2 linked regions of the Elephas maximus indicus genome follow. The main gene of each other region encodes a partner of the protein of the gene in region 2 in a complex. Links are inferred from orthologs where the notes say so. Each region holds a gene or a part of one and is shown on either strand. Other genes may lie near its edges. The genes, in order: CD4 and LCK.

What was found.
Region 1: the proteins of LCK (region 2) and CD4 are in contact, whole or in part, in an NMR structure (PDB 1Q68), measured with the Homo sapiens proteins. The link is inferred for Elephas maximus indicus from reciprocal best matches to the Homo sapiens genes LCK and CD4. Residues at the interface, in NP_001036236.1 of Homo sapiens: Glu15, Ile17, Val19, Cys20, Asn22, Cys23, Tyr25, Pro26, Ile27, Val28; in NP_000607.1 of Homo sapiens: Ala429, Arg431, Ile435, Leu438, Leu439, Lys443, Thr444, Cys445, Gln446, Cys447.

Annotation. Positions count from the first base shown.
Region 1 is NC_064822.1:63,564,946-63,577,509, reverse strand, and holds the start of CD4 (T-cell surface glycoprotein CD4), read right to left. Parts: upstream 5,996-12,564; 5' UTR 5,900-5,995; intron 1-5,899. UniProt on the Homo sapiens protein: Integral membrane glycoprotein that plays an essential role in the immune response and serves multiple functions in responses against both external and internal offenses.
Region 2 is NC_064821.1:73,156,483-73,168,622, reverse strand, and holds the start of LCK (tyrosine-protein kinase Lck), read right to left. Parts: upstream 5,528-12,140; intron 5,275-5,527; coding exon of another isoform or gene 5,262-5,274; coding exon 4,912-5,261; intron 4,637-4,911; coding exon 4,538-4,636; intron 4,397-4,537; coding exon 4,293-4,396; intron 4,066-4,292; coding exon 3,916-4,065; intron 3,625-3,915; coding exon 3,472-3,624; intron 3,359-3,471; coding exon 3,179-3,358; intron 1-3,178. UniProt on the Homo sapiens protein: Non-receptor tyrosine-protein kinase that plays an essential role in the selection and maturation of developing T-cells in the thymus and in the function of mature T-cells. Plays a key role in T-cell antigen receptor (TCR)-linked signal transduction pathways.

The sequences.
Region 1 (12,564 bases), on a different chromosome or scaffold from region 2:
TTGGTTTCTGGGTGCGCGTGGAGAACTTCGGACTTGGGTTTCCCTAACCGTCCTCTTCCCAACCCTTGGGCCCTGAATTCACTCTTCGCACATCCTGAGCAGCACTTTCTTCCTCTTAAGAGGGAGATTCCTCATAGCTGGTGCATGGGGTTGACAGGTCTGGTGAGAAGGTGATGGGGGAATGATTCATCTGGCCTCAGGGCCATCCTATCTGCACCCCCAACCCTCCCTGCTTCTGCTGAGGAAGGTTCAAATCTCAGTAGAAATGCAGCCTAGTGGTACAAGGTAGATTTTTTAGTTCAGAATCTACAATAAAGCATCTAATTGGTCTCAAAGATTTTACAGAACATAATCTGAGTATTTTGGGTAACGTTTGCCCTGTAGTTATCTCTTCAACTGCGGAGAAGGTATATAGGATGGTTGGTAATAACATACAGGGCATTACTTTGCAACACACATCAAAGCATTATTATTATTACAGTATTATTATGGTAAAGATGTTTGAGTGTATTGGGAAGTGTTTCTTTAATGTTTTTTATGCATAGGAAGGTACACTATATACTAAGACAAACATTTGACTGACATTAGATACAAACCTAACTGTTCTGACTTAAGTTGAATTCTACTTAAAGACAGATTTAGGAATGAAAATTGTTTGTAATCCAGGGACTTCCTGTAGTCTTTGAAGATGTTATCAGTCAAATTAACATGAGGTCATATCAGAGTAGGGTGGGTCCTGATCCATTCTAAGTGACCCCTTATGAAAGAGGAGAGACAGAGACAGACAGATGAAAGACTGTCATGTAAAAATGAATCTACGTGTGAAGGAACACCTGAGGCTACCAGAAGCTGAGAGAGACAAGAAATGATCTTCTGCTAAAGCCTTCAGAGAGAACATGGCCCTAAGCTACCAACACCATGAATCAGACTTCTAGTTTCCAGAATTGTGAAACAATAAATTTTTGTTCTTATAAGCCACCCACTATGTGGTATTTTGTTACGGCAGCCCTAGGCAACAAATAAAAGTGGAAATCGCTGGTTCCTTTTTCTATGCTTAATGTTCATTCTGTCACTAGAATGGGTCATTTAAGTGTGACCCAATCCATGCTACTTATCCTCGTAGGAACCCGTTATTTTTTCTCTGCCCTTCCCCACTCTGCTCCCTGCCAAGAAGCCTGACTGCCACATGTTGCATTGCCCTCCAGCTATCAGTTGAGTTTAGCCAACGAGAAGTACCTGCAAAAGATGGCAGGGCTGGGGGAGAGAATACTGAGGCATGTTTTCTGGCAATGCCTGTGTCCACTTAGACTATGGCTCCTGTCGGGTGGTCCGTCATCCACAGTTCAAGTTCTCACTGGTGTCTGCAAACACCATTTCCATCTCTTGCCCCTTCAGGACCCTTCCTACTATTATTAGTATTTGGGAGCCTTAACATGTTTGTTGGTTCCCTTAACCCTGTTCTCACCTCTGTAAATAACCCTCCCTCTACAGGCTCTTGAACAACCTGAGCTGGATTCTGGCTCCTGTCCGGCTCTGATGCAAAATCCATAAGAAGGGTATAGCACTCAGAGGAGGTGCTGGGGGCCTGGGCTTCCTAATAAGGTTTGGGGAAGATAGAAAAGGTCCCTTCCAGTCACTCCATCTGCCTGGAAGAGGAATCACCCCTGGCCCCTAACACATAGTAGGTGCTTGATATATATATCAAACACCTACTATGTGTTAGGGGCCAGGGGTGATTCCTCTTAGGAAACCCTGGTTGCATAGTGGTTAAGTGCTACGGCTGCTAACCAAAAGGTTAGCAGTTCAAATCTGCCATGCGCTCCTTGGAAACTCTACGGGGCAGACCTACTCTGTCCTATAGGGTCGCTATGAGTCGGAATCGACTCGACAGCAGTGGGTTTGTTTTTTTTTTGGTTATATATATATATATATATATATACACACACTTTTTTTTTAAACCAGGGAAATAGGAAGAGAAGAGGACAGGAAATGAGCCCTGTTGGCACAGTGGTTAAAGCACCGGGCTGCAAGCTGAAAGGTCCCACGAGTGGAACCCACCAGCCACTTCGGAGGAAAAAAACGTAGCAGTCTGCTTACCTTAAGATTTATAGCCTTGGAAACCCTATGGACAGTTCTACCCTGTCCTATAGGGTCACTATGAGTTGCAATGGGAGGACAGGAAGGAGGGTTCCGGAAAAGAGGGAAGGAGGCTAGTCAGTCACTGGGGTGAAGTTGTTTTCAAGTCAGTACAGGGAACAGGAGGCATTAGGGGGGTAAGAAGGGTGGGGTAGGGATAGCCTTACACCTGATAATAATCCCACTGTCCCCCATCCCAGACTCATTGGGTCCTTGGTGAGCAGAGGGCAGAGAAGGGACAAAGCCTCCATATGGGCTCTCTCTTCCCTTGGGTTTAAATTTAACTTACCCTTGTAACGTTCCTGAGGAAGGCTAAGGACATTCTTGACCCTTCCCTCCCCACCTACAACGGTGGTCATTTTTTCCTTCCTCACTCTGGGATTCTGAACCTGGCGTCTGAGTGGAGGCCCACCTCCCTCCCCCGAATCGCCCGCACAACCCCAAACTGCCCCAGGGTTCAGCTCAGCGGCGGAGGCTGTGGGTTTCCAGAAGAAGCCCGCCGCTTGCTTCGGTGACTTGGGCTTCCGCTGCCGCCCCAGAGAGCTGGCCTTTGATTCCCACATCCTCAGCCTCCCCGGACGAGCTCCGCCCTTAGCGTAGTAGCATCCTGTGTACCACAGCCCCGGGAGAGAGGCTTGGAGGCTGCCCGCCCCCACCCCGCGAGCCTGGTGCTTCTCTCTCTCTGTGCTTGTTTCTCTGCTCCCATCTGTGCATTTCTGTTTCTGCGCCTCCCCAAGCTGATTGCTCCATCGTCAGCTCCCTATGTCTGTGTCTCCCTCTGTGCCTCATACACCAGGAGGCGAATCTGGCTCTCCTGGTTTTGCTTGCCTCCTTTCCTCTTCTCATTTTTCATCTTTCCCCTCTCCAGCTGCCACTAAGCTCTAGTTCCTCCTTCTGTAAGCAGGCATCTTGGCCTCTGGCAGGAATGCAGGCTTTTGACAAGCTTTGATCGTGATGCCCTGGTCAAGAACTCCACTGCTAACCAAAAAATGGACAGTTTGAATCCATCTGTCGCTCCTTTGAAATTCTGTGGGGCAGTTCTACTCTGTCCTGTAGGGTCCTGTACGTTGACTATGAGTTGGAATTGACTGGAAGGCAACTGGTTTTTTGTTTTTTGATCTAAAGGGAGCTTTCCATCTGCAAAACAGAGGGGACCCCAGTGCATGGCCTGGAGACAAGGGTGAAAGCAAGAGGTGGAAAGACATGGGTGGACAAAGGGAAAAGGACAGATTCCCCGAGATACACACAGAGGTCCCAAGGGAGGATGAGAAGGAAGAAGGGAGGGAAAGACTCGGATAAACTTATTAGAGCAACAGCTACACTTCACACTACGCACAATCACACACAAAGCTCTGAGAAGTACAAAAAGGAGCAAAATGAAGAAATTTTGAGAGGCAACACACATGCACAGAGCAAAACAGAGACAAAGAGAGACCAAGAAAGAGAAAAGACCAGAATGGCAACACACAGCCACACACACTGGGAGCCCTTGAAGTTCCTGCCACCCTCACCCCCGGCCCCTGGGGATGGGATGAGGATTGAGGTTGAGAAGAGGAAGAGGGCGCAGCCCCACCACAGTGACAGTCTGTGGTCCCACAGGCACTTTTATCTTCTTCCCGTAGCTCCCACCAGCCCCCTCAAGCCCAGCCACACACACGCACACACACACACTCACCCTTTGTCTACTGCTTACTGGCTTCGTATGAACTTCCTAGACACCGTGGTCTTCCTAGAGACCATGACCCCTCTAAGGAGACTCTTGTGGTTCGGTGGCTACAACCTCCACCATCCTCTCTTTTGCATCAGACGCCCACGTGGGGGGAGCTGTGCCCTCCCTACTTCCCCTATCCCCTGAAAAGCACAGAACAGCGTTCAACCTTACAGCCTTAAAAACCAGGACGACAACTACCCCTTCCCAGCACTATGGTACCTGCCCCATCTCCCTCATCACCGTTATTTCATTCAACAAACATTTATTGAGTGTCAAAATGTGCAAGACCCTTGGTCTATCCAAATCCCCTCAGCGCCACCTCACCATTACGGCCAGGGTCAGAGCCTAGCACTGCTTCCAGGCCTCTGCCAAGAACTAACTGGGGGGGAATTTTTTTTTCTAGGTGAAAACAAACACAACCAAACTCTTGTCAATTCAACAATTTCTACATGTATAATTCAGTGACATTGATTACATACTTCGTGTCGTGCAACCATTATCACTATTCTTTTCCAAATTATTCCACCACCATTAAAATAAACTCTGCTCCCTACACAAAAACTGGTGGGTAGCTTTTATTAAGAGGTGGAACTCTTCTACATAAGTACCCCAAATTGAAAGAGTGGAATCATCTCCTGAGTATCTCTAACTCTGCCCTCTGGGAGCTCTGTCGTTTGAGGTTAAGAGGGCGGCCATTTTGCATGAGTCTACAGAATCTCACACAGAAATTATTTGTCAAAAGTGAAATATCAATGATCTTCCCCCATAAGATTTTACTCTCGGCCTGTGCCTCTAAAAATTGGCCCCACAAGGACAGGACATTCGGGAAGTGCTATCCCACCTAGAGTGAGATCCTTGAATTAGCAAGAATAGGGACTTTCTATTTAGAGGTATCAGGCTCCTCCAGGAGGCCCCTCTCCCAGAGTAGACTATGAAGGGAAGGCAGAGGACACTTGGGAACAGCAGGGCTCCAAGGCCACGGAAATCTCAGGACAGGCAAAAGGGCTGGGGGTGAAGATGGGAGGCTGGAGTTCTATACAGCATCAGTCTTGAGGGACATGGAGTCCTGCTTCCCCCCTACACACCACCAAGCCCAGGGAGGGTCTGCAAATCCTTTTCAAATTCCAACGGCCCCCTCTTCCAGAGCAGTCTGAGTCATCTAAAACTAATTCTCCTAGAATCAATTTGTCTAACGACATATTTACCTAAAAAGACGTACCTATCCCTTTTATGGCATTTCGTGTGCAAGGGCTCGGTTTCAACCCTTTTTGAGCAATTTAGCTTTCCCATTTCTTCAATCATTTTCAAGCTAATTAAAGCGTAAGTGCCTTTAGACAATATGTATAAAAATCCTAAAAATGCCCAAAAGTAGACGAAAACTTAAAAACACATAACAGAGATCATTGAAAGAGACTACGCCGATTCTGGGGCTTACGAATGCCACAAGGATGATAAATATGACTTTTGGTGTGAAGTTTTGGTGGTTGTGTCATTGGAGAATTGACTTTGGGAGAATTGCCTTGAGAAGTTTTAGACTAGGTTCTCCTCTTTTTCTCGCTTTTGCCTTTTTTGCTCCTCTTTTCTGTTCATTTCTTTTTCATAGGCCACCTCTCTCCTTAATATTTATTTATTCTTCCTATTTCTTTCCCAGCCCCTTCTTCCCTCTTTTTCTCCTTATTTCTCATCTCCCATTCTTTATCTCCTCCACTGCCCTACGGCTAGTTGCCTTCCCCTGCCTTTCTCAGCCCGGGACAGTCTCAAGGGCCTCATTTCTACTCTCCCTTGAATTCCACTCAGCTCTCCTCCGGGAGGACCTGCAGCTTTGGACAATGAGTTGTGCGCTGTGAGGGATGCAGAGAGGGGTCCCTGCCCTCTTGAAGCTCGCATTTCTGGTGGGAGGCTACTACATGACCCATCCTGAGAGAAATCAGATAATGGTCAGAGCTGTGGGCAGAGAACTGGGAATCCAGCATATTTTGGTGCATCTGTGCCACATTCTCCTCCCCTTCCCAGCCCTGAGGAAAAAAATGAAACTGGGTCTATCCATCTTACCTCTGGGTCTGTGTCTTCCTTCTGTGCTTCTTGCACAAGTGTATCTGTGAAAGGGTTTGAAGCCCAGTGGAGAGAGGGCTTCGTTACCTCTGGAGAGACTGTGCTCAAATGAAGAGAAACAGGAAGCTGGGTAGTGAAGTAACTACACCCCAGGCTTGGGCCGGCCCCACACGTCACCCTCTGGGGCTGGGGTCCCCACCCCCTGGCTTTTGGGGGAGATGTGAAAGTGAAAATGCCAAAGTCAAGGGAAAAATTTCAGTAGGGCCAGGCTACAGCCCAGAGCGTCTCTGCCACTGTTGGGTGACAAGAAAAAGATTGTGGCAATGATAGTGCCATCTGGCCTGGTCTTCAGGGAAAGTAGTGGGAGGCAGGTCGGGGAGTATATGAGAGCAGTTGTGTTGAGCCCCAAAATAGCTCCCTGATCTAGGGCTCCAAGGGCAATTTTCCAGTGAATGCCTCCAGGGCCACCTGCACCACAGGCCTTATAGATGAACTTGGGTAGCAGTAAGGGCCTGGACTGGGAATAGGAGGATACCTGGAATGCCCAGAGTCATCATGGACACACTTTTTTCCTCTGGACCTCAGTCTCTGGTAAACTCTCAGATGTTTGCCTCTCGTCCAGACCTCTCATGAGCTCTAAACATTCGTATCAGCTGCCCATTGGACATCTCCACTTGGATATTCATCAGACATAGCAAACCCAACTAAACATCCCAAACTAAACTTACCATCCAGCACTCCACTACTCTTCAAACCTACTTCTGCTTCAAGTTTTCCACTCAGGGAGGGCTTCATCTACTATGTTGAACAAGCCAAATAAATTGGGTATAATCCTTGACTCCTTTATCCAACCCTTACCGTGCATTTATGTACTAGTGCCTGTGGACTAAGGTCCCTGGGTGGTGCAAATGGTCTGTGCTTGTCTACTAACCTAAAGGTTGAGGGTTAGAGCCTACCCAGGGGTGCCATAGAAGCAAGACCTGGCAATCTGCTTCTATAAAGATACCAGTGAAGAAAACGCTATGGAGCAATTCTATCTGTAACACATGTAACAGAATTGACTCGACAGCAACAGGTTTTTGTTTTGTTTTGGTGGACCTTATCTTCTAAATAGCTCTGAAATCTATCCAGGTTACTCTGCCCCACTGCCACCATTCCAATCCAAGGTGCCACCATCATCCTTTGCCTGGACTACAGCTCCTGCCTCCTCACTGGTCCCCTGGACTCTCCAATTCTGCCTTCCTCCAACCCATCGTTCTCACAGTAGCCTGAGTGACCTTTTAAAAATGTGTGACCTTGTCATTTCTCTGCTAAAACCCTTCATAACTGACACATTGCTGCCAGAATGTAAATTGACACAACCTCTATGGCAGCCATTTGGCTATATATGTAAAAATATGATATGCACATATCTTTGACCCTATGACCTGATGAAGGTGGGTTTCGCCCTCCAGTCAATTGAGAAACACTAGGCCTTTGAGGAGGAGAAAGTGACCTTTACCGTAAGCTGGTCAAGCAAGGAGCTCAGAGACTAAGTCTCAAACCAAGTTCCTCATGGTTGGAAATTCTAGGGTAGTTAATGGAATTGGAATTGTGAAATTATACATAACTCATCAAGCTTCTTAGGCTAGGTGGGCAATTCCAGAAACTAATTAACATATGTGGGGGTGCTGTGTCATGGTGGCTAGGGGGTGTGTTTTTCAGGGTGTGGTACATGAAGTTCATCTAAGGACAGCTTTTCGGCTTATTGGGCATGCCCAACTGGAAGGGGAGAGGTGAAGTGGCCTTGGGCTGCTACACAGGATGGCTTATTGGGAGCTAGTTGACCACAGACCAGGAGTGTGATGGATGGAGGGGGAGTGGTCTAACCTTTTTGGTTACAATGCCAGCATTCCTAGATCCAGGAATTCGCGTTACAGATGTTCTTTTCCATGTGCGAAATGTCATATCAACAAGTACTTTCATTGCAGCATTGTTCATAGTGGCAATAGATTAGAAACAACCTAATCAAGAGGGGACTGTTGTTGTTTTTAGGTGTTGTCAAGCTGATTTTTACTCATAGCCACTCCATGGGACAGAGTAAAACTGTCCCATAGGGTTTTCTAGGCTGTAATCTTTATGGAAGCAGATCCCCAGGTCTTTCTCCCTGGAGCTGCTGGGTGGGTTTTAATAGCCAGCTTTTCAGTTAACAGCCAAACACTTAATCGTTGCCCCACCAGGGCTTCTTAAGAGGAGACTAGCTAACAGTGGTGGTGACACTGTCAGAGTGAGTGCCACCAAAATGACTCCACAGTCTGTCAGTGGCTGTGGGCAGGCCAGCGCTGCCAGAGGAGGGGCCACGAAGGCAGTAGAATCAGTAGGGTTGGTGCCACCAGTTACCCAGTGAGGTAACTCGCCATTCCTCACCCCCCCGTCCTCATCCCTCCTCCTCCCTACCAGTCATCTGGACACCCCCCACTGGGCAGAGAGGAGCGTCTCCGCTTTGGCCAGTGAAAGAGAGGAGGAGCTGGGGGAGCCCTGGGAGGCAGGGCTGGGGCAGGCGGAGTGGGCAATGCAGCTCTTGGCCCTGTGTGGGGGGTTGAGCAGGCTGGGCCACTCCACCCCACCCATGGGCGGGCAGGGTGACACCCTGAGTTGCCTTGCTGGGTGATACCAGCCCTAGTGACACCACAGCTAGTAAAATAAATTATGGTGGATCCATACCATAGAATATGATGCCCAAAATCCTTTGCTGTGGAGTTGATGTCCAATTATAGCAACCCTGTAGGACAGAGTAGAACTGCCCCATAGGGTTTCCAAGGAGCGGCGGGTGGATTCAAACTGCTGACCTTTCGATTTGCAGCCCAGCTCTTAATCACTGTGCCACCAGGGCTGTAATTATGATGCAGTCATTTTAAAATACGAAAAGCTCTTTTAATACTTATGTGGAATGATCTCCAAGAAAGATCATTAATGAAAAATATAAGTGCTTGCTCCCACGTGTTCAAAAAAAAATGCCAAACCGGGAAAATGCAGAACAGAATTTCAAATTCTCATGAATTCTTAACTTTCTGGAGCCATGGAGGGTGAAAATATTGCCCTAACATAATCCTTAAACCATAAACTGAAAATGTCCCTTAAAGTCATCTTGAAAGCAAGCAATAGTTTAGCTAAAGTGGTTAAAAAGCTCTGCCCTGAGCATTATGCTCTTTTAAGAACTGTCTATATGGGATCAAACTGACAACAACTCAAAAGATTAGGTAGGCATTTTAGGGGGCAGTGAGGTTTTTTTTTTTAATGTGCTTTAGATGAAGGTTTATAGAACAAATGAGTTTCTCATTAAACAATTCATACACATATTATTTGGTGATATTGGTCGTCGACCCCATGTCATGTCAACACTCTCCCCTTCTCAACCTTGGGTTCCCCATTATCAGCTTTCCTGCCCCTTCTGCTTTCTCTTCCTTGCCCCTGGATTGGTGTACCTATTTAGTCTCCCTTTGTTTTATGCGCCTGTCTCATCTTTGACTGAGGAGCCCTGGTGGCACAGTGGTTAAGAGCTCGGCTGCTAACCAAAAGGTTGGCAGTTCAAATTTACCACCTACTCCTTGGAAACCCTATGGGGCAGTTCTACTCTGTCCCATACGGTCAGAATAGACTCAACGGCAATGGATTTGGGTTTTGGTTTGCTACAACAGAAATGCCACAAGTGGATGGCTTTAACAAAGAGAAATGTGCTCTCTGACAGTCTAGTAGGATAGAAGTCCAACCTCAAGGTGCCAGCTCCAGGAGAAGACTTTCTCTCTCTGTTGGCTCTGGGGGAAGTTCCTTGTCATCAATCTCAGCTTGAGGAGTTTCTCAGCTCAAGGACCCCAGGTCCAAAGAACGCACTATTCTCCTGGCTCTTGTTTCTTGATGGTATGAGGTCCCCATGTCTCTCTATTCGCTTCTCTCTTTTATATCTCAAATGGGGTTGGCTTAAGACACAACCGAATCTTGTAGATTGAGTCTTGCATCATTAACATAACTGCCTCTAATCCTGCCTCATTAACACCATAGGATAATCACATCAGGTGACAAAATGGTGGACAATCATACAATACTAGGAATCATGGCCTAGCCAAGTTGACAGATATTTTCGGGTGACACAGTTCAATCCACGACAGGAACAATGTGCATGTATTGCCAAATAAATCATTTTTTTTGGTAAAGGTAAAAATTAATAAATGAAACATTCAGTGGTTTCCCATTTCTTTAGGATAAAGCCATAAACTCAACCCGCCCTAGGGCCCTGTGTGAGCTGGTACCTTTGTCCCTCACCAGCTGCATCCCGTACCAGCCACTCTTCAACTCGCTTATACTCTGGCCACTCTGGTCTTCTTTCAGTTCCTCAAAGGTACTAACTCCTTTCCTACCCTGGAGTCTCCGCACAAACTATTTCTCTGCTTGGTAAGCTATTCCTCTACCCTCCTCTCTATCCCTTTGTCTAGAATAGTGGTTTTCAAAATTTGTTCCTCTTTTGTTTGAACCTCCTTTGTTGTTGTTAATTGCCATCCAGTTGATTCTGACTGAAAGCCAAGAGGCTTTTTTATTAGAAATTAAGACTGGAAAAGTTTTCAAATTTGTATTTGTTAATTTATTTGAAAATAATAATAAATCCAAGTTGATTCCAACCTGTAGCAACCCTATAAGTCAGTGTAGAACGGCCCCATATTGTTTCCTAGATGGTATTCTTAATGACAGCAGATTGCCAGGTCTTTTCTCTGGCAGAGCCACTGGTGGGTTTGAATTGTAGACCTTTTGGTTAGCAGCCAAATGCTTAACCATTGCACCACCAAGATTCCTTTAAATCCATTATAAATTGACATAAATAAAATATTTTTTATGAAAATAGCTGTATTTTCCAAAAAGAAAAAAATTGAGTGAGAAGAATAGTGTTGTTTTTCATTTTTGCAAACTCTTTAATTTCTGGCTTAGTAGAAGATAATTGGATTCTCATATTCTCATTTTTGCTTCGGCATTCAATCTTTTGTAATATGTTTCTTTGGTTGAAGTATATGAAGAATATCTGGCTCTACACAGGTATGTAGTTGGAAGAGGGAAGATCATTTTGAAGGCTTTTTTGATCATTGTGGGCACTCTAATACCCATTGCCATAGAGTCAATACCAACTCATAGTCAGTCTATAGGACAGAGTAGAACTAACCCATAGGTTTCCAAGGAGCAGCTGGTGGATTTGAACATCCTGACCTTTTAGTTAGCAGCTGTAGCTCTTAACCACCAGGGCTCCAGAATACTCTAATACCCGCCCCCCCCCAAAAAACCAAACCCATTGCCGTCCAGTCAATTCTGACTCATAGTGACCCTACAGGACATTGTAGAACTACCTCACATGATTCCCAAGGAGCTCCTGGTGGTTTTGAATTGCCAGCCTTTGGTTAGCAGCTGTAGCTCTTAGTCACTACTCCACCAGGGTTTCCAGATATTCTAATAAAACAAAACAAAAAAAAACCACTGCCATAGAGTGGATTCCGACTCATAGCATCCCTGTAGGACAGAGTAGAACCGCCCCATAGTGTTTCCAAGGAGTGCCTGGTGGATTCAAACTGCCGACCTCTTGGTTAGAAGCCATAGCACTTAACCACTAGGCCACCAGGGTTCCCAGATATTCTAATAAAAAATAGTACACTAAAATTCAATAAGTGGTAGTTTCTTAACTGCAGTGTGGAATTCCACTACAATGTGTAACCTGAAACCATATCAGCTAACTTTTTGTACTCTGTTACATTAAAATCCTCTGATCTATCTTGTACTTTGAATACAGCTTTTACGCACATATGATTTTATGACATCATTGGCCACTTGGAAAGTATCGGTTCACTGAATGATGCAGATCTTCCAAAAGTTGATACATTTCATTAAACTACAAAAAAAAAAAAAAATCTATATATTAGTTTAAATTGCCACCAAGTCCATCAGAAAAGTCTTTAAGTATTGGGATGGCATCACATGGGTGACAGAGAAGTTTTCCAAAATTCTTATTTTCACTTGAAATCTCAAATTTTGCCATTGGCCACAAATACTGTCAGTTGTTTTCCTTGAAGCTACATTTTGTTCATTATCAAGAAACTGTCCGCCAAATAGTCAAGTCTGAAAAACTGTAGTTTGTCAGTTGTCCTTACAAGGAACTGTAGTTTTCCCTTGGAAAAAAAAAAAAGTGGCTAGTTCAGCTTGCAACTCCAACAACTACACAAGTGTTTCCACTGGAGATAACCATTATACTTCATTTGCAGCAGTTCTTTATGCTATTTCTTATTTCATTACACAGTGTGCTCAAGAATTGAGATTTAATAAAATTAACACTTACTGCCTCATCAAGGGCACTCTTAAGTGAACCTGTTGCTAATTTTTTTTTTTTTTTTTTTGACTGCAAGTGCCTGGCAGTGAAGAACACAATGAATGTTAGCACAGTTTGGTGCCACTACCTTGATTTATGGCAAGGCAACAGTTTTATCCAGATTGCTTTTGCAATGTCAATGCAAATGTCAAAATAGTGTCAAAGGCAGATAACATCCTATTATTTTTATGAAAATAGTTTTGACCTCACAGACTCTACAAAAGTGTCTCAGGGATCCCCGGGGGTCCACAGACCACGCTTTGAGAACTATTGATCTTGATAATTTTTA
Region 2 (12,140 bases):
CTGAGAGGGAGCATCTTGTAGGTTTCTTGTCACCAATGGGGTAAAGCCCAAACCCCTCAGCCAGGGATCCAAAGTCCTGCATGGTCCACATTTGTAGCTTCTCCTCCCCTCCCCTACCCCTGCCTCCTTCACCACAGCCACCCTATACAATTTTGAGATTCTTCAGACAGACCACTTGGCTGTCATCCTGAAGTCTTTGTCCATCCCTACCTGCTGAACATTCCAGTTTTCTTTCATGGCCCAGCTCCCCCTTTAGGAAGCCACTCTAGTCCTACCAGGCATAATAAATTACATCATCTTCTGCATTCCTGTGGTGTGCTAGAAACTTCCCATGGCACAAACTCTGTCTTCCCAGTGCCCATTACTAAAATCATGAGTTTCCCTAACAGCAGAAATCTTGTTCACTTATCTAGTGCCCAGCCCAGAGTAAGCAGCAATGACTGTGTGCTGAAGGTATTGAATGGAATATGGAAAGAGATCCTGGGGGCCTTGGGGCATCTCTCGTAGTGGAGGGTGGCTGGAAGAAAAACACTATGGAAGTTGCTAGGATGAAGCTTGTGACCAGTGGCACTTCCCAAGAGATTAAAACCTCATATGAGGATGACAGCATACCTGAGTGTCCCCACTATGGGGCTAAATTAGTCACCAAAAACAAAGGCCTCACCCAGAGGCAGCAAATATGTGGATATATACAGCCATTCCTCTATTGTGTCTGTGACAAATGTTGCTAATCACAGTACTCACTCCAGTGAGCTTCAGAATCCTTCTCAACCCAGCTCTCCAAGCAACTACCAACCAATCAAAGTTGGCACCTATAATGAAACCTACTTGCCATGTCTAGAATCTATTAGCCAATTACCTTTTTCCCTTCCTGAAAGAGGGACAGATAATGTATTTCCAAAGAATCAGAACTAGATAAAAACAACAAATGTATGATGTAGCTAACATATGGCAGGCACTGTTCTAACTTTCATCCTCACAAAGACCCTATGAGGAAGTTACTATTCCATTATTATCACCATTTTACAGATGAGAAAACCAAGGCAGAGAGAAGGTAAGTGATTAGTCCAAGACCACTGTAGTGCAATTGATCACTTTTATATGGCCTTTCTCACCATAGCCTTGTAACTCTCACGGAATGACTGAGTGGGACTATGCAAAAAGTGCTTGTGGCCCACCAGGGAGATTGGACAGCTTGCTAATAATGGTGCACACCACCCTTGTGTGGGTGGAGCCATGTAAATAAGGTCAGTTTTGCTGTCCCACTAGGCTTAAAACAAGCCATTCCAGAGGCAGAAAGGGAGGACCTCACTACCATGAAGAAAGAAGAGCTGGGAGTGGAGTGCATCCTTTGGACCCAGGATCCCTGCACTGAGAACCTCCTAGACCCAGGAAACAGCTGTAACACCGGAGATGGCGCAAGACACCGAGAAGCAGTGGCAGAGAAATAGTGGCAGCAGAGGCACCAGGAGACCAGCAGGAGATGGTGCAGCTGGCTGCATGGCCCACAGAATGAGAAAGCTGGGCACCTTTGGGCCCAGGTTTACTGGCAGAGTAGGGTGCCTCTGGACACTTATTGGTGGAGCTAAAGAGCTTTGTAACACTTGCCTGACCAGGCCAGAGGCTGGGCCAGCCCAAGAGGTTTGAGAGGCCGAGAGGCCAAGAACCAGGTAGAGGCCTACTTGTGCGCATGGCCGAGAAGCTGTCCTAACTGAAGAACTATATCTTGAGTTATCCCTGATCCTGAATTTTAACCTGTTACTTCCCTAATAAATGCCAAAACTCTGAGTATGATCTATGAGTTTTGTGTGGCCATTGCAACAAATTATCGAACCCATCAGAGAAGTAGAGCGTGCTGTGGGAGGGGTAGCTGGTGTCACAATTGGTGAAAAGGTTGGAGGGTAGAGGTATGTCTGACCTTCATCTCATAGGAATCAGCCTCGGGCTGATGCTGATGGTGATTCTCCTCTTTCCTTACGAAGTTAGAGGAGGAGGTCAGACGCCACCCCCATGCCATTTTTACAACCACACAACCATGAAGACAGGATTCTAATCCAGGCAGTCAGACTCTAGAGCCCTTAATGACTATATTCTTTCTGGGTGAGCTCATTTAGATTTTCTGCTGTTAAAGCAGGAGCTGCACACGTGGGTTTGCCATGAGTCAGAATCAACTGATGACAACTAATAACACAACGTCTTTAGGGAAACTGAGGACCGGAGGTGCTATGGGGACTTAGCCTGGGTCACACAGCAAATCAGTGTCAAAGTGGAGCTTAGAAACTCAGTCTCTGCCTTTCCGGGCTCTCTGTCTAATAGTACAGCCCCTACAGCAACACCTTCCAGGGGAGGGGGAGGGGGAAAGGACTCACCCACAGCTGGAAAAAAAGGGCCTTGGGGCAGATCTAAGGAACCCTGGTGGTACAGGGGTTAAGTGCCTGGCTGCTAACAGAAAACAAAACAAAACAGAAAGGTCAGCAGTAGGAGCTCACCAGCCGCTTCACGGGAGAAAGGTGTAGCACTCTGCTTTGGTAAAAATTGCCATTGAGGCTGAGTCGACTCTGACCCATAGCAACCCTGTACGACAGAGTGGAATTGCCCCATAGGGTTTCCAAGGCTGTAAATCTTTACCCAGGCAGACTGCCACATCCTTTGCCTGTGGAGTGCCTGCTGGGTTCAAACTGCTGACCATTCGGTTAGCAGCCAAGCACTTAGCCACTCTGCCAGCAGGGCTCCTTCTCCATACCTTCTCCATAAAGATTACAGCCTTGGAAATCCTGTGGGGCAGTTCTACTCTGTCCTATAGGGTCACTATGATTTCCAAACCACTCGACAGCAATGGGCTGGGACAGATCTGTCCTCCCAAGGGTCAGGAAGGACAAAAAGGGGAGAAAAGAACCTAGGGGCCCATTCAACTCCTGAGATCTAGCATCCTGAGATCAAGACAGGGTTTTGAAGAAAGCAAAGGAGACTGCAGGTAAGGGAAGATCGAGGCGAATGCTCTTCCAGGCTCTGCCACCGTAGACTGGGCCCCCAGATAATATGTCCGGTTCTAGTCCTTGGCGGTGCGCCTTCAGCGGCCCAGGAAGCCCATCTAGAAACCCTTTATGCTGAGCCAGAGGACAATGCAGAACCCCACCCTCCAGGAGGGGCGCAGGGGACCGCGGCGCCTGGAGCGCACCGTTCTCCATGTATTCCGTGATGATGTAGATGGGCTCTTGGGTGACCACGGCATAGAGCCGGACCAGCCGCTGGTGTTGCAGCTGCTTCATGAGATTGGCCTCGGCCAGAAAGGCGTCGGGAGACATGCTGCCCTGCTTCAGGCTCTTCACTGCCACTTTCGTGTGCCCGTTATAGTACCCTGAGGGAGAAGGGGTTGGGGGAGTCACCCGCTGCCAGTGCACCTGTACTCAGAGCTTTCTGCGGACGCCTCCCCTCCCTCCTTCCCCGGCAACCCTGGAGGGCCACACTCACCCATCCACACCTCCCCGAACTGGCCAGCCCCTAGCCGCTCCACCAACTTCAGCGTCTCCCTGGGAACCTCCCACTCGTCCTCCCACCACGGTTTCTGGGGCTTCTGGGTCTGGCAAGGGCGACTCAACCGCGTGCACAACCCGTCCGGAGCATCTGCGGGGACACGGGAGAAGTGTGAAGGCAGGCCTTGGGTCACCCCACCCAGCGCCCACCTCACCGAGTCCCGGTGTAGGAGAAACGGACTGGCAGGGCGGTGTGGGGCTGTCACCCGACACCTGGGACTGTAGGGTCGGAGACCCCGCCCCACCCACTGGGGGAAATGAAGGAGCACGCTCAGAAATGGGGGGAGGGTAACTCTGAGAGAAACTGGGGGGAGGGGGCAGGCTGGTACGGCAGAGGAGAAGGGGCCTGGGGCAAATCTGAGGGAGTCCTGGAGTTGCTCACTGGTGTAATGGCGGACCAGTTCATGCAGGCCGGGGAAAGTGATGCGTGGGGAGATGTAGAAGCCGCCGTTGTCCAGGTTACGGATCTTGTAATGTTTCACCACCTCTCCCTGGTTCTGGTCAAAGTCCCGGACCGACAGTGAGAACGATCCTGAACGAATGAATGAATGAATGAACAAAAGAATGCAAAAGAGGGCGGGGTCGCCTTCCCCGAGCCGCGCACGCCACCCATGCCCTTCTGCTCGGGCTCACCCAGGTGGCACCATGCCGCCTCACTGCCCTGCCTTGCCAGCCCGCGACCCCGCCCACTGGGAGGCCCCCAGCCTGAGGTCCCGCCCCCGCGGCCCCGCCCCGGCTGTGGCCCCCCCAACCGCTCACCCACTGTGCTCTCGCTCTCCCGGATCAGGAAGGAGCCGTGCGTGTTGCCGGGCGCCAGCAGCTGCCGCTCCGCGTCCTTGCGGCTCAGGTTCTTGAAGAACCAGCTGAGCAGGGCAGAAACGACGGCTGTCGTCTGTTAGTCCCTTCTTCTTCCGTCCCCCTCAACCAGTCACCACGACTCCGAGCACCCACTCTGGGGTCGCCACATGTGTTCCCGCCCATCCCCACGACAAGCCCCCACTCACGGTTCGGGCTCCAGGCTGTTTGCTTTGGCCACGAAGTTGAAGGGGATGAAGCCTTCCTGGCCCGTGGTCAGAGACTGTGCCTTCCACCACTCGCCGCTCCTGCACCACAGCGATGGTCAGCGCGGCCTGCCCAGCCCTCGACTGAGCAGGAGACCCTTCCTTTGAGTCCTCAGCTCCACCAGGTCTCCCTCCCCACAGCTCAGCACTCTAGAGCTTCCCGTTTGTTCCAAGGGCCCCCCCCCCCAGCCAATCAGGACCTCAGGGTGTAGCTGGAGGTACCGGGTAACTCTGAGGATGGGGGTCTTAGACCAACAGCCCCCTCCCTCACAGACCCCACTAGGACTGTGGTGGATGGGATGAAGAGGGCACTCAACTGCTCCAAGATGCGGAGCTGTTCGCCCTTCTCGAACCCCAGGTCTCCGTCGTGAGAGGGCTCATAGTTGTGCAGGGCGATAACCAGGTTGTCTGTAAAGATAGGGGGCGTCAGGGCGAACCGGCCTGGGGTAGGCTGGGAGCATGGAGGTCGGGAGTTATAGGGCCAGAGACAGGACTGGGGGCAGGAGGGGCCGAAAAGGGTAGAGGGTTCGGAGGAGATGAAGGCAGACAGCCAAGGATCCACAGGCCTCATCTTCCAGGCCCTGCTGGTTGGGGTCACCTTGCAGTGGTGAGGCCGGAGGGATGGAGCCCTCGTAGGTGACCAGTGGGTCCCGCACATCAGAGCCATTCCGCATGGGTAGCTGTGGGGTGGAGGATGAGGGTGGGGTTAGAGAGCAAGAGGCTGGGTCTTATCACTAACTTTGTCAGCTATTTGCTGTGTGACTTTGGGAGATTCCCTTCCCCTCTCTGGGCCTCTCTTTTCTGTATACCGGGGTAGATGGTCAACTGTGTTATTTCAGGGACCTGTAGTTGTGGTCCATTCTTTCTCCTGAGTGTCCCTGGGCCCTGCACTTCACCTAATTCCCTCACCAAGTCCACTCTCTTGCCTCTTACCATGGCTTTGCTATCCAGTGGGACTATGGGGTAATGGCAGTTCTCACACACATCGATGTTTTCCATCCAGTCATCTTCAGGATTCGAGCTGCAGCTGCAGCCCATGGTCCCTGGGGGAATGGAAAGGGGAGTGAAGGGACTTCACGCAAGACCTGCAGCCCCAATACCAGACATCCTAGGGCGAGGTTGTCAACCCCCCCCCCCCCCCCATTCACCAGCCACAGAAAATCTGAAATGGTGGGCCCTAACTCCTGACTGGTGCTCTCTTGGAGCTCCAGGGCCACAAACAAAGTCACATAAAGCCCTAGGCCCCGCCCTCCCACCTGGGATGGGCAAACTGCCACAGATACCTTTCTTAGTTGAGTTGCCCACTTCCTGCCTCTCCCCTCTCTCTTTCCCTCTGCCTGTCCCCCACGTTGGGGGACTCCCTCCCAGAGAACACACATACATATTTACCCAAGCCCTGTGGAAGACCTAAATTTTTATCAGATCCTCCCCTCCCAGAGAGGTGTACAGGCCCTATCTCTTAATTACAATCCCTCTCCAGCCTAGGAAGCTGGGTCAGAGACACCTGTCCCCAAAGGTCAGGCATTAGAGCCCTCCGCCATACACAAAGCCTCCTTCAGAGGGTTTCTTCCAACAGGGTCTTACCTCCCCCCAGCATAACCCTCCAGTGGCCCTGTTGGCCATAACTTTTTTTTTGTCTTAGCAGTGCAACCTTTTTGTCAGGTGAAGTCAGGCAGAGCTCTGTAAATAAAGTAGGTAAAAGTGGAATTGCTCTGTCTGAAGCAGAGTGGCACCTCACCCTGAAGCCCCCAGAGTCCCTGAAGCACCTCTTTCCCTAGGGCTGCCCCTCACAGCTGTGTGGAAAGCACTAGTCTTCAGACAAAGTCTAATTTGCCATGGCACAATATCAAGACCAAATCCACCTCCTCAGTCTATTTTGCTACACACACACACATAAACAGCCACACACGCTCACGCACCCTGTGTCTGAACCCCTCTTGCCTTTCCTAAACACCCCGCACTGTTTTCTTACTGCACGGCTTTGCACATGTGGTCCTCCTGTCGTGGAATGCTCTATTTTGTTCATCGGCTGAACTCTAACTCAGCCTTCAAGTTTCAGCTCAAATATCACCTTCTCTATGAAGCCTTCCCAATAATCTTTGCTACCCTTTCACTCCTAGTTCCTACAACATTCTGCTCAGGCCCCAATCATCAACCTCAGCGCTGAGTGCCATGATGACTGATTTATGTGTTAGTTCCACCACGTCCCACCATCCCCAGACTCCAGGTTCATCAAGAGCAGAAGCTGCGCTTTATTTGCCTTAATGCCCCAGGCACCCAGAACCAGTTGCTATTTTAAATTTTGAATGATATGAGGAGGTTTAATGCACCAATTCTTCTATCTGCACAAGTCTTAGAAACAACCAGGTCTAACCTTTGATTTTAGATTAATAAACCAAGACCCATGCTGGGACCAGGTGGGGATGAGGAGCAATGGGGTTTTCTGGTTAACAAGAGTCAGAGCACAGATCCAGGAGCCAGAGAGAACTAAGTTCAAATCCCGATTCTAACACTGTGTGACCTTGCGGAAATCATTCTTCCAAAGCCTCACTTTTCCTCTTCTGTCAAATGGGTATCATCAGTCTTTTCTCATAAAAAAAAAAAATTTAAGCTTATGTTAATGTTAGCTTAGTTTAGAACTTCGAAAGACCTCCCCGCTCTCCACCAGGGCCCATTCTGTCCTACCAGCCCCTGCTTTGTAGGGTAGGGGAATGGGACTGGTAAATAATCCTCTTTGCTGCTCATGTTTCTTAAACTGACATACTCCTGACCCCCCATGGATATCAGATGTCATGGGTGTGCATCTTCCCAGAGTGCCAGTGGTTCCTGAATTTATTCATATAGCTAAATAAACATAGACCTATTATGGAACAAATGCAAAATGACATGAAATTTTAAGCCAAATCAAGAGTCTTAAAGGAAAAGAATACATATCTACTCTTCCTCCCACTGTTAGGAGTCCTTTGTGGGGGGGGGCGGGGGTTCATTTGAGAAGTCCTTCTAGGCCAGAGTCCACCCATCTGTGGCTGCAAATGGCTTTCTGATTTGCTGATTTTATTATGGCCAGGAACTAATTAGCAGCAAATGCCTCCAGGAAAGGAGCAATAGAGACTTGGAAGTAGCCTAAGAAGAACTGAGCTATCTAGTAAGATAGCAAGCATCCTATGGCTTGTGATACTGGGAAACCACAGGTTGGTCCTGTAGTAGAGAAAATCCCAACATCAGATGAATTATGGACTTAGATCAATAAAGTTCCTCCCAGGCTTAACATTCTGGGAGGCTCTGGAAAAGGGCAAGAGAACAATGGGAAAACAATGGGCTTGAGACGGGGGATGAACTGGGCCAAGACCAAGAGCCTGTGAAAGTCCTGGGATGCAGTGGTGAGGAGAGGCAGCTAGAAGGGCAGAAGGAACCCAGGCTGGAGATCAAGGGACTAGATGGCACCCGGTGCAGGCTGGGGTCAGGTAGGAAGGGAAAAGGAGCCACGGGCCTTGGGGTGAGGTCCAAGAGAGCCTGCAGGAGGACCTAGAGCCTGGACAGAATCTGGGCCCACCGGAAAGGACCTCACATCCCTAAGGAGAGTGAGAAAAGGCCAGGCTCTGTTAAATTAAACCAAGAGGAACTCTGTAACTCTGACCCTGACTGCTTTCCCTATGGCTTATTTTGTGCTCCTGGAGCCCTTCAACTGAAGGAAGCACATCTTGCCTTCTACAAGTGTGTGAGCATTAGCGTGAAGAGCCTGGCAGCAACCAGGAGACCCCAGAATTTGACAATAAGAGAAATTATAAGGTAACTTTTTTAATGGTAAATATGTATGTAACAAAACATTTGCCATTTCGTCAATCATCACGTGGGTAGTTAGGTCAGTGACAGTAATTATGTTCACCATGTTATTCAACCACTACCCATACCCATTCCCAAATCTTTCCGTCATCAGAGATGAGTTTGGTGGTTCCCAACCTAGTGTTTGCATGCTCCCAGAAGAAAATAGTGTTGAATACCTTCAGGGTATTTTAAAATTTCAAAAATCTACATGGAAATTATACTACTACTAGTTATTGTTCCCTCATTGCATACTTAGTTAAGTCTCTGATCAAATTTTGAAGTAGAAAAATAAGAAAATTAGTGCCTAAACAACGTAGTTTGTTAGGGAAAATGTTTAAAATCATGAGATCCATGGAGGGGGGTGGGAGGTGGCAAAGGAGTCCTTGGGAGGGAAAAGTTTGGGAACCACTGAGGAAATCCACCGGCCTCGTTTTAAAGATGGAGAAGCTGGGGAATCAAAGAGGGTAAGTGATTTTCTCAACAGCACACCGAGGGGTCTTGGCAGAGGCAAAACTCAAATCAGGCCCCTACATTCCTTATCAATGGACCCTCCTCTGCTCCTCGCTCCCTGGGAGATCTAAAGAATGTGGGGGGATCTTGAGAGATCATAGAGAAAGCAGGTGGGGGGCAAGAATCGTTAGTGGTCATGCAGAGAGCAGTTGGGTGGGAGGACAGGTGTGACAGTGGGTTTACTCTTCATCAAGTACTTGATCATTGTGCTATTAACAAAGACCTTTCTCTTCAAGACAATTTTTCCCTCTGCTTAGAATACACATTTCTGAGTGTACATTTACCTGACTCAGTGTAGGTGAGTCTGTGCACATGGAGGCATAAGATTTAGTGAGTGTCATGCTTATGTGTGCACACCTGTGCATTTGTATGAATCCGCATGCACAGATGGACATCTAACAGAATGGGAGTATTTATAGCTTGCTGGTATCCCCACGTAATTGTAAGATCATATATGCATTCACCTAGTTTTACAAAATATAGGTCCCATCCTCCCAGTCTCAGCTTGACAAAGCCTGCTGGGTAGCCAAAATGATATAACCAGGTTAGTAAAACCAGGTCAATAAAAATTTCTCATTATCTGAAAAAAGGAAGAAAAAGAGAAAAGCAACAAACAGTAGATTCAAGGAGCTGCTGGCAATAAGAATAAGAACCGGCAATAAGGACAGATAGTGGGGTGAATGAAACAGGACATTCTCTTCTCCCAGCTCAGGAATCCAAGGTCAAGAGTAGAAATTTCATAGATCCTATATCACCTCTGGAAACCCTGGTGGCGTAGTGGTTAAGTGGTACAGCTGCTAACCAAAGGGTCGGCAGTTCAAATCCGCCAGGCGCTCCTTGGAAACTCTATGGGGCAGTTCTACTCTGTCCTATAGGGTTGCTATGAGTCGGAATTGACTCGACGGCACTGGGTTTGGTTTTTTTGGGTTTATATCACCTCTGACTGGGGCCTGTAATGCTCTCAGTGAAACTCAAGTTTGCCCATGGTCTATACAGCACTTTGTGCAAACTATAAAAATGTCACCCCTCCCACGGGCTGCAAACTTAGAGAGTGGACTGAGGGCTAGGTTTCAGCCTCCCCCCTCCCACCACTTTTTGCTTCTCAACACAATTCCCAACCTGCTCAACATACCCAGTGGCCCTGCTCATGTCATATATGTATGTTGTTGTTGTTAGGTGCCATTGAGTTGATTTTGACTCATAGTGACCCCATGTGACAGAGTAGAACTGCCCCCATATTGTTTTCTTGGCTGCAGTCTCTACAGGAGCAGATCGACAGGTCTTTCTCTCACAGCGCCATGAGGTAGGCTTGAACTGCTGCCAGCCTTTCCATTAGCAGCCAAGCATTTAACCATTTGCAACACCAGGGCTCCTTATATATACTGTATACAATTGATCAAAAATTCCAGGCTGCAGAAAGCTCCTGGACTGGGTTTTGTGATCCCAGAGTGTTTTAGAACCATATCACAGTGAGTTCTGATTCTTGACAACTTGTTCACTTTTATCAACTCCACCAACATTATCTTCTTTGGGTGGGCTCAGAACGTGTTCTTGTCCATTTTTTCAAAAAGGGCAGTACTTTCCTTCTCCTAAACCATAGACCTATTCATTTATTGAACCAAACCAAAAACCAAACACACTGCCATCGAGTCGATTCTGACTCACAGCGGCCCTATAGGACAGAGTAGAACTGCCCCATAGAGTTTCCAGGGAGTGCCTGGTGTATTCGAGCTGCCGGCCTCTTGGTTAGCGCCAAAGCACTTAGCCACTATGCCACCAGGGTTTCCATTTATCGAATATTCCATCCAAAATGCTTCCCAGCTTCTTGCCGGGGTTTCTCAGTCCAGTGTTCTTCATCAAGAACAGGCCGGTTATTCCACTCCAGACCATTGTACTCAGGGCCACCTTGTGGCAAAAGCTGTCAGGAATAATTTAAAACATAATCTTGGCCTTTGTCTCTGACCAGGATTTGGTTTTTGGCTAAGTTGCATCTGTTCAATGGCAATGCCCACACGGAAACTTGTCAAAATATAATAGTCAAGAATCAGGGTTGGCGGGCAGAGTAAATAATTTCTAATGGGTAAAACAGGGATGTGTCCTGGGTTCCCTCCTTTTTCATGTGTTCCTTTTTGATACAATTGTTGTTAGCTGGCATCAAGTTGACCCTCAACTCATGGTGACCCCATGCACAATGGGACTGGATCTTTGTGATCCATAAGGTTTTCATCGGCTGATTTTTGAAAGTAGGTTGTCAGGCCTTTCTTCCGAGTGCATCCTAGTCTGGAAGCCCCGTCAAAACCTGTTCAGCATCATAGCAACACTATAAGGTGCCTGAGGTGCACTGACCAGGAGTTGAAACTGTGTCTCCAGCATGGAAGGTGAGAATTCTACCACTGAACTGCCCCCTTTTGATATAATATCACTTTTGAATTAACTTTGTGACCTGTTGCCACAGAGAACAGAAAGATAAGTCTTCTCTTACATGCAAACAGATGAATTCATTATCACAAACTGGGAATAACTTGAACACAGAACTGACTGTTAGTTAATTATTGCCATAAAGAAGGGCCCTTCTTCTTTTAAGGGTGATGGAAAGATTTGGAAATGAATAGTAGTGATGGCTGAACTCACTGAATTGTACAGGTTAAAGATGTTGAAGTGGCAAGTGTTTTGTTACATATATATTTGCCACAATTTAAAGAGGAAGAAGAGCTACAGAGCAATTATTCTAAGCTAAAGCTGGTATTTTCCTAGAGAGGTCCCCCAACTAGTAAAGTGTATGCACCTAGTAATTCCTTTCAGTGAGTTTCCTCGTGTGGCACAATGGCTCATTTTTGTGTGGTGTTTCTAGCCATGGTCTTGTAACTCCCACCCGACTTATTGGGTGGGACTTTGCAAATAAGACAATTGTGGCCCACCATGGAGATGGGTCAGTTTTGCTTTAAAAGAGAGCCAGTTCCAGAACAGAGAGAGGATTTCACCACCACCAAGAAAGAATAGCCAGGAGCAGAGAGCACGTCCTTTGGACCCAGGATCCCGGAGCTGAGAAGCTCCTGAACCCAGGCGGTAAAGAGATAGCTGTAACACTAAAGAGGGAGATATGGTGGCAGAGAAACAGCAGCAGGCGAGACCAGCAGGAGATGGCGCAGTAGGCTTCCTAGCCCACAGAGCGAGAAAGCTGAGTGCCTTTCGGCAGGAGGCTTGCTGGAGG